Linked DNA regions of Styela clava. The protein of the gene in region 1 interacts with the protein of each later gene in a pairwise test. Links are inferred from orthologs where the notes say so. Each region holds a gene or a part of one and is shown in the gene's direction. Other genes may lie near its edges.

Region 1 (7,096 bases):
CCCATATGGTGTTAATAAATCGTCAACAAATTTATGTAATATTGCTCATCTTCATTCCATGGTGAATTATTGCTGAAGAACATGAAATAGATTGCTTACTTTGCCATTTATATTCTCAAGGTGTCTAAATATTTTTGTAACCCAAATGTCAATCAGATGTAGGGAAAATTGCACATACACAAAAAATTGAATTACTGCTGCTGGTCATCATAAAAGACTTGTTTTATTAGTATTTTAGATCTTGTAATACTTTACTTTTTAATGTTTAAGGGTATCAGCATTGTTCGATTTGTAGATGACCTGCTATTGTTGCAAAATAAAATTTTATTTCAAAATATTTCATGTCTTAAGTCTTCTGGGATAAAACACAAAGTTGTAGATAGCAGTTTCTGTGATTTCGTCAATCCTTGAGATCTTGTGGTTAAAAATGAATGCCAAAAGCATTATACACCTTTTTGTCTTGACTTTGGGATAATCGGTCAAGGCTGAGATAACCAAATGGCTTTTCATTCTGTTATGGCGTCTTTCGCAAAGCCGTAACAAGCTTATCATCTCTCTTCCCAACGAATGTCATGGTTTTTTTCTGGTAATAATCGCTCATGAATTCAATATTTTCAATGACATCCGTCAGTAAATGAGCTCTGGTTACAGACGATCCTGAAAATGAATAACATTAGAAAGAAACAGAAGATGAATGTTGTTAGGTGTATATTGAGATTGTGTTTAGTTACCTGGAGCATCAAAGGCGATGTTTGTGAAATGTATATGGAGGTGGTAGTAAGATGGTTGATAATGGAAATATATTCTTAACTTGTGTTTCTTCACTCCATACTTTTCCTGTATTGCATCCTACGTAAAAGAAAAATCGTCCTTAAGTCTTGTTCTATTAATAAGCTTCAATTGATTTCCAAAACAAAATTGTCACCTCTCCACGTTGCTTTATGTTCTTCAGTAGTGGTAAATGATCTTTATTCAAATCACGAAGTGACTTTAAATCATGTCTGTGAACAAGAGCTGGGAAGAAAAAATATGTGATGCACCATATAAGAAGCTTCTGTTATTTGGGATGTTAATCCTTAAAATACCAGCATAAATAAGCCATATGTGATAACCATTAGAAAATCCCACTGTGGCATATGGCAGCCATCAGAAGCAATGAATATACAAATTATTCTCTAAAATTGGCTACACAAAATATTAAATTTCAAGGATTGTGAGGATCAAACAAAAACAAGGAAAATTTTGCATACCCATCAGATATAATGATTCTATGTCTTTCAGGTCCCATTTCATATCGGGGAGAAGAATGAATCCTATTTCAGGATCAGGATCTTCAAATACAATCCTTTCGGATTCGCTTTTCTTATCCAGAATGTTGAAAACCCACTGTGAAAAAAACATACCATAAATAGATGGGAATATTATGTAATATTATTATTTCTGAAATATAAAAACATACTTTTTTATATAAAAGTAAAAAGATCAGACTATTGCAATTGTTCTACATAGGTGATATATAAAAAGAAAAATTATTTTCCAACTGCTATTTACGATTTATGTACAACATACTTTTCTCATATAAGTTGCATGCAAAACTATACTTGTGCAAAGCAAACAATGCCTGTCATAAATAATTTGTTGTGCTTGCCATTAATTAAAGATTATGTTATATAAAGGTGTGGCCCACGGATTCTCCCAGTTATTTGAATGTGCCTCTCCTGTATTAAAGGTTGCACACACCTGCTCTATGGTATTGTCAATTCTGAATGAAACCTATAATTTTGTTTTCATATGCTTTTAATCATACTTGCACACTGAATCGATTTTCTTCTTTCAAATATGGCAGTGTGATTTGCTTGTAGTCATCGCCAGTTTCCTCTATTACTTCAACTTCTTGCTTTGTGTATTTTTCTATGTGCTTTGTGGTTGCTGGATATATCACAGTTGTCTAAAATTAACAGATGAGAATAATAATAATTGACAGAAGCAAAAAACAAAAAAATATCATTTTATGATTTCAATTATTATTAATAGTACATTACTTCAAAGCACTCAATTTCGAACATATAACTCGTTAAATACATTTCATATCCCAAACCATTCAAATTGTCAAGTTCATTCAAACTCCCTTTTGAAAGTTTACTTTTATTTGAATGCTCTATCCTTGCTCTCAACACCACCATTAAAAAAAGGTTGAAGTGGTCATCAGGCAAAGATGAAATCGCATTTTTAAAGTAGACTACCTTAATTTCTGTGTGCGGTGAAGTGGGTACTGCTGCATATGTACTGTAGATATCATTTAATAAATCTTGGCGGAGCTTTGTTTCTTCGGAAAATAGAGATTTCAAGCCCTTTGGTGATGTGTCAAAAGGCCTTTTTTCCAATATTACAACTAGAAAATAAGAAGATAAATTGCTCTTTTAAATAAATTGAAAAATGTTTAAAAGGTGATTGTTATAAGGTATTTTGGAGTGCCTTTTATTGCGTTACACATAAACCATAAAGTTAATTAAGCCATGAAATGTAAATGTTGAAAATAAAATTAACCTGCGTCTTTGTTGTCTTCTCCAACTTTTCCATGGAGAAATACAAGTTTCTTTTCCTTTACTTCATTTAGGACGACTGGATTTTTCAATCGATGGAAAGGATGTAGCTCCACATCAATCTTAGCTAATTTAGGCGATGGTTCATCTTCCTCTTCACCCATAATCAAACTTCGGCGAACCCAAACACCAACCTTTCAACCACAATATGCTTAAACGAGAAAACTAATTTTGGTACTTTCCAGGGTCATGACCCCTTGAAGCGTGCGCATGAAAGACATACCATACACCGAATCAACTGAGATAAATAACCTGAGAGTGTTGGCGTATTTGTGTGCCAATAGAGGATTTGTCCTGTGGCAAACGACGTTTGAATCTCACACAATGACCTTAGGCATGTTTGCATGTAGGGACCGGTACGATAAAATCCTTTAAAATACTTTGGGTGATGATCCGTCAGCTTTTCAAATAATATGATTTCCTTTCCTGGCGTATTGGTTATATCAGTATATAGACGTTCATATACGGTAGGCTAGTCTCCGTAACGTACGGCACCCTTCCGGTCTTGATGCCTCGCCCTGTTACCGGTACTGTGATGGGATATTGTTCCGTACAAATTCCGATTTACTTGAAATCTTGCTGTTACCATATCCAGTTATTTTTTGTGTGATCCTACTCCACTAATAAAATGGTCCTTACGTTTCGTATCCAATATGCCTCAGTAGGCTACAACAACCAGCTTTTGATCGCTGCTAGCAACGAGCTTCATTCATTTCTTGTTACGGTCCATGAACGCACAGTTGAACCCCACGAGGGCGCTGTCGCGTGTATTATTACTCTGGTGGTATTTTGTTTCTCTGTTAATTATGATTAATTAAATTTGTATAATTTTTTTTTGTCATTCCCTCTAAATCTCCAGCCCACAGGTGTCGTTGACTCGATGACTGTCACAGTCTTTCGCGACTCCTTATCTATTGCTATGAATCTCTCACTTGTATGAATTCTGATGTGTATATTTAATTTTTTACGATTGTCATTATACACGTTTGTCAATTTTTCGTGCTTTAAATTTTGTGTTAATTCTTGCATGATAGAAATAAAATATCTGAATCTGAATCTGAATCTGAATCTGTTCGAGAAGGCATATTAATGTTATCAATAGCTACAATATATAGATATATGGTATAATCTAGTATTCAAAAAAGTTGAGTTAAATGGTGTACAAGTCCGGATTTCATAAATCAGTTTTTATTTATTTGTTTTTATCAATCACTTTATGGCCTGTTATGCTGATTATGGAGTCGAAATAAACTTACGTATATACTGATATACAAGTGTATGTTGATATCACAAAGCTTTTCGTGAATATTTTAACAATACTTCTGGATCGTAAGCCAATATATTAGCAATACTTGCATAGACCTATATTGCAGAAATTTAGCCTCACACTAGAATGATAATGCTCCAATACTTCATTCCACGTTACTGTGAAATTTCCGTATAGCATATAGACTAATACTGTAATATGTTCTACTTAATATATTTTGCATAACTTTTCAGTTTTATTAGATGAGTTGTAGAGTTTAGGAAATTAAATACAGCATTAGTTGAAGTTCAAACTCAATCATGGATGAACACTTTTTCACAAAATTGAAATCAAACTTTGAGCAATTCGTATCCTCACCTTTGCCATTTTTGGAAGGATGTACAGAAGTGTCAGACAATTTTAAATTATTATCAAAGACGATTTATGATTCTAATAAATCATCAGCAATTTCATCACGATCAGGTCCAATACCAAAACTTATCATTGAAGGTTTTGATCATGAGCAGATTTGGCAAGAAATTGAACTTTTCAATAAGAAGGAAGCTGCAACTTGTCTTAAAGCAGCCGAATATTTTAATTCTCAGGACATTTCCCAGTTCATGTTAAAGAAACATGAAAGTGATGATGAAACGGGTGATGAAGATGATGATTTGTCAGAATTAGAACCTGTTGAAGGAGAAGCGGAACCAGAAGGTGATTGGTTCATTATTTTTATTCGTTTTACACTTTTTACTTTGTAGCCTATATATATATAATACAATACTGATTCATCAGGTAATTTATATTTTTAATATCAATGATTACAATACTATTTACTATACATGACTAGTGGAGGTATGATTTTATTATATTCTGTTGTCCAGCACAAAATATTCTCCATAATTCTAATTTGTACAGCTGGAAGATATTGAAATATGCATTTGTTTGAGAGGGGTTCGATGTATATTTTCTATAATATAAGTCCCAAGCAAAGACCAAACTTAAAATTGAGAGATCATGATTATAAAGGTTGCCAGAGACCACTGCAAACAGTTATAGTGCTAGGCTCACCTTTGGTTTTCATCTCAATGTTGTTCAAATTCTTATTTGTAACTGTATTAAAAGTCAAACTGATATCAAGAAAATTTAACAATCAAAATTGAATATATTTAGCGGAAAGCGACGTGGAAGGATTCCATTTTGAAGAAAGTGAAGGAGATGACGAAGAAACTGAAGAAGAAGAAGAAGACTTCAATCAACATGATGTAGTAACGGAGCAGACTGAAGTGGACGATGATTTTTTCAGTCTGCGTAAAATGGAAAAATTCTTAGAAGACGAAGATCGAAAATATGAATTAGAACAAAAGAAGCCGGTAGAGGGCGACATAGACTATTTTGAAGATATTCCATCTGATGGCATTTCCTCATCTGAAGATGAGAATGAAGAATATTCAAGCAAGATTAAATCATCAAGAAACTTGAAATATTCTGATTATTTTGATGAACCTATTAGTTCAATAAAAAATAGAAATGAAAATATTTCTGAGACTGAAATTGATGATAGAAACAATGCACAAGATCAAAAACAATCTCATTTTGAAAAGCATCAGAAACAAATATCACAGAAAATTGGAATACTAGAGGAAAGAGCATTGGCACCTGCAGAGTGGCAAATGACTGGTAAACTGTTTTATTCATTCTATAATAAAGAATATTCTGTCCACTTTGGTATGCAAATCTCACTTGCTTAACGCACAGCACTAATCATGGTGCCTTTTTGGTCAGTCTCATAAAGAAATTCTCATAGAATTCAGTTTCTAACTTCAACTAAAATCACTGAGATCATATACCAAATTAGCACCGAGTATTCCTTAATAAGAACCCATTTGGAATGTGAAGTACTGGGAGTTTGTTTTAGCTAACCCTGGCCTCCATTTTAGTGGTCAGCTATTTTTAGGTGAATGCGTTATGTGCATTTTTCTAAGCTTGTATCGTAAAGAGAGCTCTAGCTGACTTTTTCTTACCAACTGTTACTTGATTATCTGTGATTATGACATCTTAAGTTAGATTGGTGAAATATTCATTTCAGTTACATAATTTATTGATCTTATTATTTTGCGATACAGGGGAAGTCAAAGCTGCATCAAGACCAGAAAATAGTTTACTGCAAGAAATGGTTCAATTCGATCATGTTGCTCGACCTCCTATTGATATAACAGAAGAACACACTAAAGATCTTGAAAGTTTGATCAAACAACGAATCATGGATTGTGCTTGGGATGACATTGAGAGAAAATATAAACCTGATGGTAACTACTAATAAAAAAAAATACTCTACTTTCGAAAAAATTCAATTTGTTTCCAACTTGTTTTAGATGTTCTCTATTGTATTTACCTAGGTATCTGTATTGTATTATGGCCATAATTAAATTATCCAAAGCATACAATTACCATTTCAAGATCATGAAATGGCATATCCAAATGCTTAGATGTATTATTATTTATATAAACAATTTGAATAATCAAGAACCTATTATAAATGGTGTAAAATTGTTTTAAGTATCCATATTATAGTTCTTGAGAGCTCTACCGATATATCGGCCAACCGATATATCGGGCCGATATTGCGTGTTTGCCGATATATATCAGCGTTAGTCGCTTTTCCACGTTCTAAAAAATGAGTCCCCCGGGAAATATCTGCGGCCGAGCTTTTTCTTTTTTTCGCTTCTCTCATTTTGCCTCTCAATGAACAGAGAGTTCTCTCTTTTATCTCTTCGTGCGGCGCAAAATCCTCGCCTTCGAATATCTTGCGTCCCCACTAGACTTGCACGTAATCGACAAAAATCAATTCCGTAATTACGGAAAAAAATCGATTACGTAATGACCCCGTAATTGCGATATTTTTTCACGCATTTAAACCTATCATAACAACCAATTGAATCCACTTCTTTTCCAAATGGGACATCGAAGTTTGGTTTTCATATCACCGACAGTACTACACGCCGGCGACAGATGTTAAAGACAAATACCAAGGAGTGAATTCAAATTAAATTTATTCTGATTTTTATCTTTTGATTTGATTTTCCTTTATCACTTTCGCAAATTAACCGTCCCAATTTTATGCGATCAATTTTATCATTACCAACACTGGTATACGGATATTTATGAAACAATAGTTGCCTTTTTTAAAATCGACTTTCGTATTGAATAAAAATTTCGGGTTTCCAAGTTATTAATCAACGACGAG
Region 2 (7,830 bases), on another chromosome or scaffold:
CTGTTTACTTAAATAATAGAGTGTTGGCTATTTTAGGACAATATGAAAGCATATACAAATCACAAATTTGACTACTTGGTTGAAAAATAGGTATTAAAGTACGCATGTCATCGAGCTGCTCTCAACATTGACGCCAATCGAAATGTTTGCGAAAGCTTACTTTTTAGTGTAGGACAACTACAATCTTTCTAGAAGAAAGCCTTGGGGCCGAGCGATCTTATTTGTACATAGAACAGAACAGGGCAATGTTACGCTCGGTGATAACTTGCGATCAGCTGTCAGATTTGTATGACGCCATCCCACCGTGCAAGGGTCGACATGGAAAAATTACACAATAAAACCGATCAATATTTATTTTACTGAAGAAGTTTCGATGTCAACAAAGGAAACTAATTTTAAACAAGCGTAGGTCACCTGAACGGTGGAAATTGCTGGTAACCTAATTACAGTAAGTTAATTATTTACAATTTCCTGGAATTTAAACCTAATGCCAAAAGTTTGTTCACGCAGAACGAACGACAATAATCAATCTGAATATATGTTTCCAGACCAGTGAGATTGATTTTATCATTTTATGCTGGAAGAAGTGATTTGTTTTGAAAATTTCAAAAAAAGTTTTGCACAAGAGTCCGCTTCATGATTTTAAATTCAGGCCCTCGCTAGTGATCAACGAAAAGCGTGACTTCGAAACTGATTTGCCTGATCCTGTATCAACCTGAGTTTGGTGCTGTGATTTTGACATTGGGCACTGTAGTATCAATAGGTTATGGTGTTGGAACTCAATATCTTTTCTCTGCAACACCAACGTAGTCAAACATTTGACACTTAAACTGCACCCAGGACGTTTGCGCCTGAATACTTTTGCACTCACGGACAGAGAGAGAGAGAGAGAAATTTATTGCCACAAAAACAAAATCAACACTAATATAAACATAATACAATAACGAAAATATTCCACAGTAATTGATTATTGCTTTGTGCGGGTCGGTGTGCAAGACCGATTAAAGTCATCTAGGCTCCCGACCCTTGTGTATGTGCTATATATAAGTTCATCATAGGTGTATACAAATGAGATTAAATATAAACATTTAAAAAATAAATACGAGGAAAAAAGGAAACGAGTCGGCAATTTAATGGTATTATGGAAGTTACTAAGGGCAATTTAGGTTTTAGAGAGGTCATGTGTTGGTTGAAGCCGGACATGTCCAATGGAAAAATTTTCACGAAAAGCATATTTTTTGTTATTGGACACAGACCGGGATCAAAAATGAATACCAAGGACGAAAAATAATATTATCACAGATTCAGTAATAGACCGAGTGCATGATGTAAAAAATATCATTACTTGTCGATCTTGTTTATCGATCTTTGTCTGTTTGTCTGTCTGTTAGATGCAAGCGATATCTCAAGAAAGCGGGGTTTAATCTCCACCCAATCCAATTTTGCATGTGCGTTCATCATTTCACGGACCAGATGGCTATTGATTTTGGTAGAGTTATGTCGTATAATTAGGGAGCTATTAATTAATTGGTGTTTGGACACACGGTGTCACTATAGAGTCATGAATCGAAACCGCAGTTTTGATCGATAAGTCTTTGGTCTCCGACCGATACTCTCGTTTGACACCTTAATTAGTTCACGATATAAAAAGGTTATTGAATTAAAAGTGGCTACCAACATCCCTAAGTATTAATACATACTTTTGAAATAGAATAGTAGTTAATATATGATCCACAGTTGAATATGAACAATTAAATATGCAATTATTATTGCAGTTAATCACTTTTTCACAATATATAAAGATTATTAAATTAATTAACAAATGGGCTACTATCATTTATAAGTATTTATGCATACTTGGAACTATAATATTAATGTATGATCCACAATTAAATATGCAATAACTATGCAGTTCATCAGTAATACCACAATAACTTTCAATGACATAAAAAAGGTAATTACAGTATATTAGGCAGTACTATATGGATCAAGGGAGCAAGATTTTATACTCAATTACATATTATGACGTGTTTAGCAATAATTCAAAAGATAGAAATATCAATAACAATGGCTTTTAAAGTCGAACATAGAAATCATCAAATTGACGCCAATGAAAGAAAAGAAGACAGCAATTTTATTACCTATATACATACATGAGTTGGAAAAAAGGGCTATGACCCTCAGTGTGCAGTGTTTATATGAAACAGTTAAATTTATAGTAATGTAGTAATTTATATAATGCAGTTTTCAACACATATTAATTAATTAAACTACAGATATTAGGACAAGTTAGAATATTTCAGTAGGGAATATTTTTTCAGTTTCTTACTGAAAACATGCACAGAACTTTTTTTAGTTTCAGGTGGAACATTGCCCCAGACCTGTACACCCATATACTTCAAAGATGTTTTGTCCACCTCAGTGGACACTTGTGGAGTAAAGAAAACTTTGTTTCTTTGAGACCTGGTGCAGTAATTGTGCACTTTTTTTAATGAGGTGAAATAATGTTTAAAAACAGGAGGGACAAGGTCATTTTCTTACCGATGCATGAACTTTGCTATTTCTAGCGTATGTATATCAGACAGCTGTAGGAATTCATACTGGTAGTAGAGCTGCAAATTAGTTACACGAACTTTCTCTGCAAATGCCATACATCGTAAAACTTTATTTTGCAAAACATGAACTGGCTGTAAGGAAGACCTTGATGCTGAGCCCCAACTTAGCAGACCATATTGCAGACGTGAGTGGAATAGACTAAAATATACTAATTTAAGTGTTTTAGATTTCAAAATATGCCTTAACCTGTAAAATATTCCAAGAGTTTGCAATAATTTCTTGGATAACTCGGCAATATGTGGCTTCCAACTCAGTTCGTCATCAATTGTAATTCCCAAATATTTAATTGATTTTGTTTGTTCTATAATGTTGCTGCCAATGCCAACTCTAAATGTGGAAATACCATGCTTTTTATCACAAAACAACATAAATTTTGTTTTAGAATAATTTAGGGATAATTTGTTCGCTTTAAGCCAATTATCGACCTTCTGGAGTTCATGATTCACCACAGTTTGGAGTTCTAAACCACAGGATGCTGACTTTAGCAGAGAAGTATCATCGGCAAATAATGTCGAATGAAAAGTAGATGCCAAAGGTAGATCGTTTATGTAGCATAGAAATAACAGCGGGCCAATCGTGGAACCCTGGGGGACCCCACATTCAATAAGGCCCATTTCAGAGATACAATCCCCATATTGGACATATTGTTTGCGGCCACCTAAATATGATGCAATAAGATGATATGCCTTTCCTCTAATGCCATAATGATATAACTTATCTAGTAAAATTTGGTGGTTAACAGTATCAAAAGCTTTCGCAAGATCCAAAAAGATGGCACATGTGATCTTGTTATTGGCCTTATTTTCTATTATCATTTCTTTGAGCCGTGCTATGGCTAGCTCAGTTGAATAGTTGTTTCGGAAACCAAACTGGGAAAGGCTCAAAGTTCCATGTTTATCGAAATAATATTTGAGACGATGATATAAAATTTTTTCATAAATCTTGGCAATTTGTGATAGCAGGGAGATAATTATTCGGACATTTGCAGCTACTTATTTCAACAACTCAATTTAAATTGCGTCTGCACTCTGCAGCAATTTTTACCACGGGCATTTGCAAACGTGGACATTTGGAACCACGTACATAATACATACTCACTTAACAACAGTTCCACCCGATACCTTTACACACGTCCGTCTTCAACAAGTAAAATATAAAGTATAGAAAAACACGTAAATATAAAGCTACACACCTCTCCATCTAACAACTGTCATGACGAATTTATGTGCTTTTTTCATAAAATTTTATCATAGTTTAAATTTTAGAATCAATATAACAACGCCTTCACAAAATTGTGACGTGGTTCCTATTTCCGTGGCATGGTTCTTCGCCAAATAAGTGCCTGCCATGTGCCATGTGTGTCATGTCGACTCCAAAGTGTAGTCACTTTGGTCGACTCGACCGACTGAGCTGTCTATTCCATCGAGGTGTACCGTTTTCAGTTCCGGAATCCCGGGTCGCTGAATTCCGAAGCTTCACAGAGGTCTGCTTAATAGCCTTGTTCTGCAGTAGCAAGGCTTTGGATAATGAGACAGAGCCATGGGGTCAAAATATTTAGTTTTCTATAAGTAGGACATATACAGATATTAGATGTAATTTTGTTACGTTACGGTACCTATCCCTGGGTGACCAACACGTCGTTCGCCACGTCTCGAGCAGTTTGCGTCGTAACATCGCGTCTGATGTTACTGTGTTGAGTGAATTTTAATGGAATACTCCTAAAAATTGTCTTGAACCAGTAGCGCGTTTCAAATCGTGATGAATATATAGTACTGTACCCGTACATGCGCAAAATACATTATGCGCAAGCAGTATTTGCTGATTTGAGTCGTGCTAGCCCGATAGAGCATATTATTGCAGTATTGCTGTATTGAGTAACAAACGCAAGTTTTGCCGCTGCCAAGGTTTAGAAATGAAGTGCCGAATATCGGTGTCTTGATTGACAAACGATCCTACAATAACTTCTGCAGTATGCGAAATTTAATGTCTTACTCAAAGAGTAGTGTGATAAATTTTATTCGCAATGGTAGCAGTGACATCTTAATGCCCAATTTGGGTTAATTTTAAGCAAGCGGAGAATTGCAAAAAAGTAACAAAAACAAAACAAAAAAATGGAACAAAAAAATACAAATTTTGTGTCAATTTTAATAATAATGTTCCCACAAAGCCTTCTTATTGACAGCGGTAGAGTTTTTTGTATGTATGTGTGCAGTTATCTGCATATTCAGTACCCAATAGTTTTTGTGTATGACCCTATTACAATATTACCGATCAGTCGTTCGCTAGCTAGTTTAAAGATTTTAGTCGATCGTGGTCGAAAGCAGGTTGGCCACCCCCGCTATATACCGTATACTGGTAGACAGTATAAAGTTACGATATATTCACACATGGATTGAACAAAATACGAAAATGTGACGAAAATATTACACTGAAACGCTGTCTATATTTAATATTTCTTTATTATTATAGTTCTGTAGTTATTATCACTACCTTTAGATCCTTGTTATAAAGCTGACTATCCAATTCATACAAGAAATCGTGAATCATAGCATTAGAAATGGTGAGAAGGATTTTACTTTTGCATGACGCGAGGATGGTTTGATCGAACTATCACTTTATCCGAACTTAATCAAACTGTATTGTAACCTGGATTAAAAACACAACTTTCAAGTTATAGATGTAATGCTGTCCTGCGTATTTCAATGCATAACAAATAGTGGTGGACACTAGGGATCTAATGCTGAATAATTGGTCACTTTTAGGTCACACTGCTGCACTGCCAAAATGGTGCTGTTTTTTATAGTAATAATATAATTTCGATTTCCCCAAAAACATGCACAGAACAAATAATGTACACACAAAACATAAACACACAGAATAATGGAAAAATCGGGAAAATAAAGTATAATTTAGATGCTTTGTTCTCTTCTCTCTTCCTAATTTTTAGTGATAACAGATTACTTCATACACAAGAACATTAATTTTTTGCTCACTTTCTTATTCAATATAATTGGCAATTTAGTTTTTTGAGAAATTTTCCCTTCTTTTTTCGTTTGTAATAAATATGTCATAGATGAATTTAATATCTGAATATGTTTACAGCTTCGTCGCCAGGCCAGAGAAAGAAGGGAGTTTTTGTATCGTAAGTCTGTTGAAGACAAAAGACGAACAATTCAAGAGAAGAAAGATAAACTCAAGCGGTCATTAGATGGTATTTAAACTAGTAAAAATTAAGCTTCTAGTATTGTAAATATTTCCTCTATCAGTCATCATCTGTGAGAAGTTGGAGGCAGTCTTCTGTTGGATATGGGAGAAAGTGGATGAGTAGTTTTTGAACAAACTATTGAAAAACAGAAAAATTCTCAATTGCATCATATTTTATCTTTGTTCAAACGAAATCCTAACATGTTCAGTTTATTAATATTATCTTGATATTTCATTTGCACAATGGTATGATTTGATAAAAAATTCTGCCAAGTCTGTAAAACCCCCATAAGATCTCATTGCTATATAACTACACAATAGATTAGACAGTCTGATTGGAATTATTGTCCAGCAAATAGGCACAGATTAATCAGATAAAATATAGGGGACCGAAGACATGTCAACTTTAGCAACAGTCAGACAAAGAAGAATCCTAAATTTGGGTTACATTGACAGAGGTTCGGGCGCTTAGTGAATCTACTCCTGGTGAAAATATATCAGTCGAAACCATGTCTCTGACTCTGCACACTGCTGTACACAACCCTAAGATAGTATAAATACATAAAATGAAAAAAGGGCAAAATTTAGTATCATCACCCTTTTTATATTTAAAGTTGAACCCCATGAATATGAATCTATAATATATTGTATGTAATTATTATCTTGACTTTATATTTTGTTCATCAGAAAACAAAATCATTCCTACTGAGCTCCGAAAAGATGCATTGGCCTTGCAATCAGAATTAGAATTTGATGATAAAGGAGCTGCAGGTGTATCTAATTCTATTGATGATGAATACAGATGGGTGGGAGTAGAAGATCCAAAAATTATGATTACTACTTCTCATGATCCAAGTTCGAAACTGAAGCAATTTGCAAAAGTACCATTTTAATTTCAAATGACCCACTTTTTGATTTTGTATATAGGAAATTTATGTTTTTTTTTTTTTTGAAACTCCCTTGATCAGTTTCTCACACTAACCCCTTCATCATTGAGTTAGGTTAATACTAAAATCATTGAGATTACGATCCAAGCCCAATCTATTGTTTTATAGGAAATAAAACTAATGTTTCCAAATGCACAACGACTCAACAGAGGAAATCATGAAATGAAGGCTCTTATATCAGCTTGCAAGGCAAATGATGTCACAGATTTTATTGTTCTGCATGAACATAGAGGAGAACCTGGTAAGATTATTTTAAGAGGTGTACACATGAAAAATTTTAAAAATAAATTTTGTTCAGCTTCTAGTATATTGAAATTTTATAATAAACCAAAAAAGCGATTAGTATGAAGATTTATTATACTTATGGCTCTTTTGCTATATCTTTTGCACAAGTTAATTTGCGAAAATGCCGGCTATATGTTACAGGTCATCTTTACGCTACAGGCAATAATTACCAATTATATTTCTCTGTTGCAGATGGACTGATAATTTCACATTTACCATATGGACCAACTACATATTTTAATATGTCAAATTGTATTATGAGGCACGATATTCCGAATGTTGGTACGATGTCCGAGGCATATCCGCATTTAATATTTCATAATTTTAACTCAAGGCTTGGAGAAAGGGTAGGAATATTGGTTTTGAATAAAGATTGTAGAATATTTGAACTGTACATTGTTTCAGATTTTATAAAATTATCTCAAATTTCAGAAAAAATATTTTTAAGCTTGTTTAAATCGATGCAATGCTTGCGATCAATTACATTTTTGTTGTGGTTTCAAACATGGCCGTGTAGAAGAAGTCTGGAAACATGGCATTTTGTTGGAGCTAGAGCCAGATCTACCAGAAATTTTATCGACTTCGGCTTCTAACCACCAAATTATTTTCCATGTCTATCATTTTTTAATGCAAATACAAACAGCCGGACCTGGAGCCACATTTTAAATATGCTGTGGTTCCAGATCTATTGTGATTTTAAATCAGCTCCTTTTGTCAAAAATGGGGTGTATATTTTATATGATATGAGGTTAAATTAATGTTCGTCATCAGTTTGAAA

Evidence for each region. The genes of interacting proteins can lie anywhere in the genome.
Region 2: the proteins of U3 small nucleolar ribonucleoprotein MPP10-like (region 1) and U3 small nucleolar ribonucleoprotein IMP4-like interact in a two-hybrid assay, tested with the Drosophila melanogaster proteins (2 studies listed by BioGRID). The link is inferred for Styela clava from reciprocal best matches to the Drosophila melanogaster genes CG13097 and CG11920.

The regions. Positions count from the first base shown.
Region 1 is NC_135252.1:8,336,247-8,343,342, reverse strand, and holds the start of U3 small nucleolar ribonucleoprotein MPP10-like, read left to right. Parts: upstream 1-4,090; 5' UTR 4,091-4,169; coding exon 4,170-4,563; intron 4,564-5,022; coding exon 5,023-5,529; intron 5,530-5,975; coding exon 5,976-6,158; intron 6,159-7,096. Other genes in the region: m7GpppX diphosphatase-like, read right to left, coding at 515-657, 732-849, 926-1,014, 1,251-1,386, 1,808-1,948, 2,244-2,392, 2,548-2,707.
Region 2 is NC_135256.1:12,039,308-12,047,137, reverse strand, and holds the start of U3 small nucleolar ribonucleoprotein IMP4-like, read left to right. Parts: upstream 1-4,769; 5' UTR 4,770-5,173; coding exon 5,174-5,176; intron 5,177-5,718; coding exon 5,719-5,827; intron 5,828-6,507; coding exon 6,508-6,701; intron 6,702-6,875; coding exon 6,876-7,008; intron 7,009-7,244; coding exon 7,245-7,399; intron 7,400-7,830.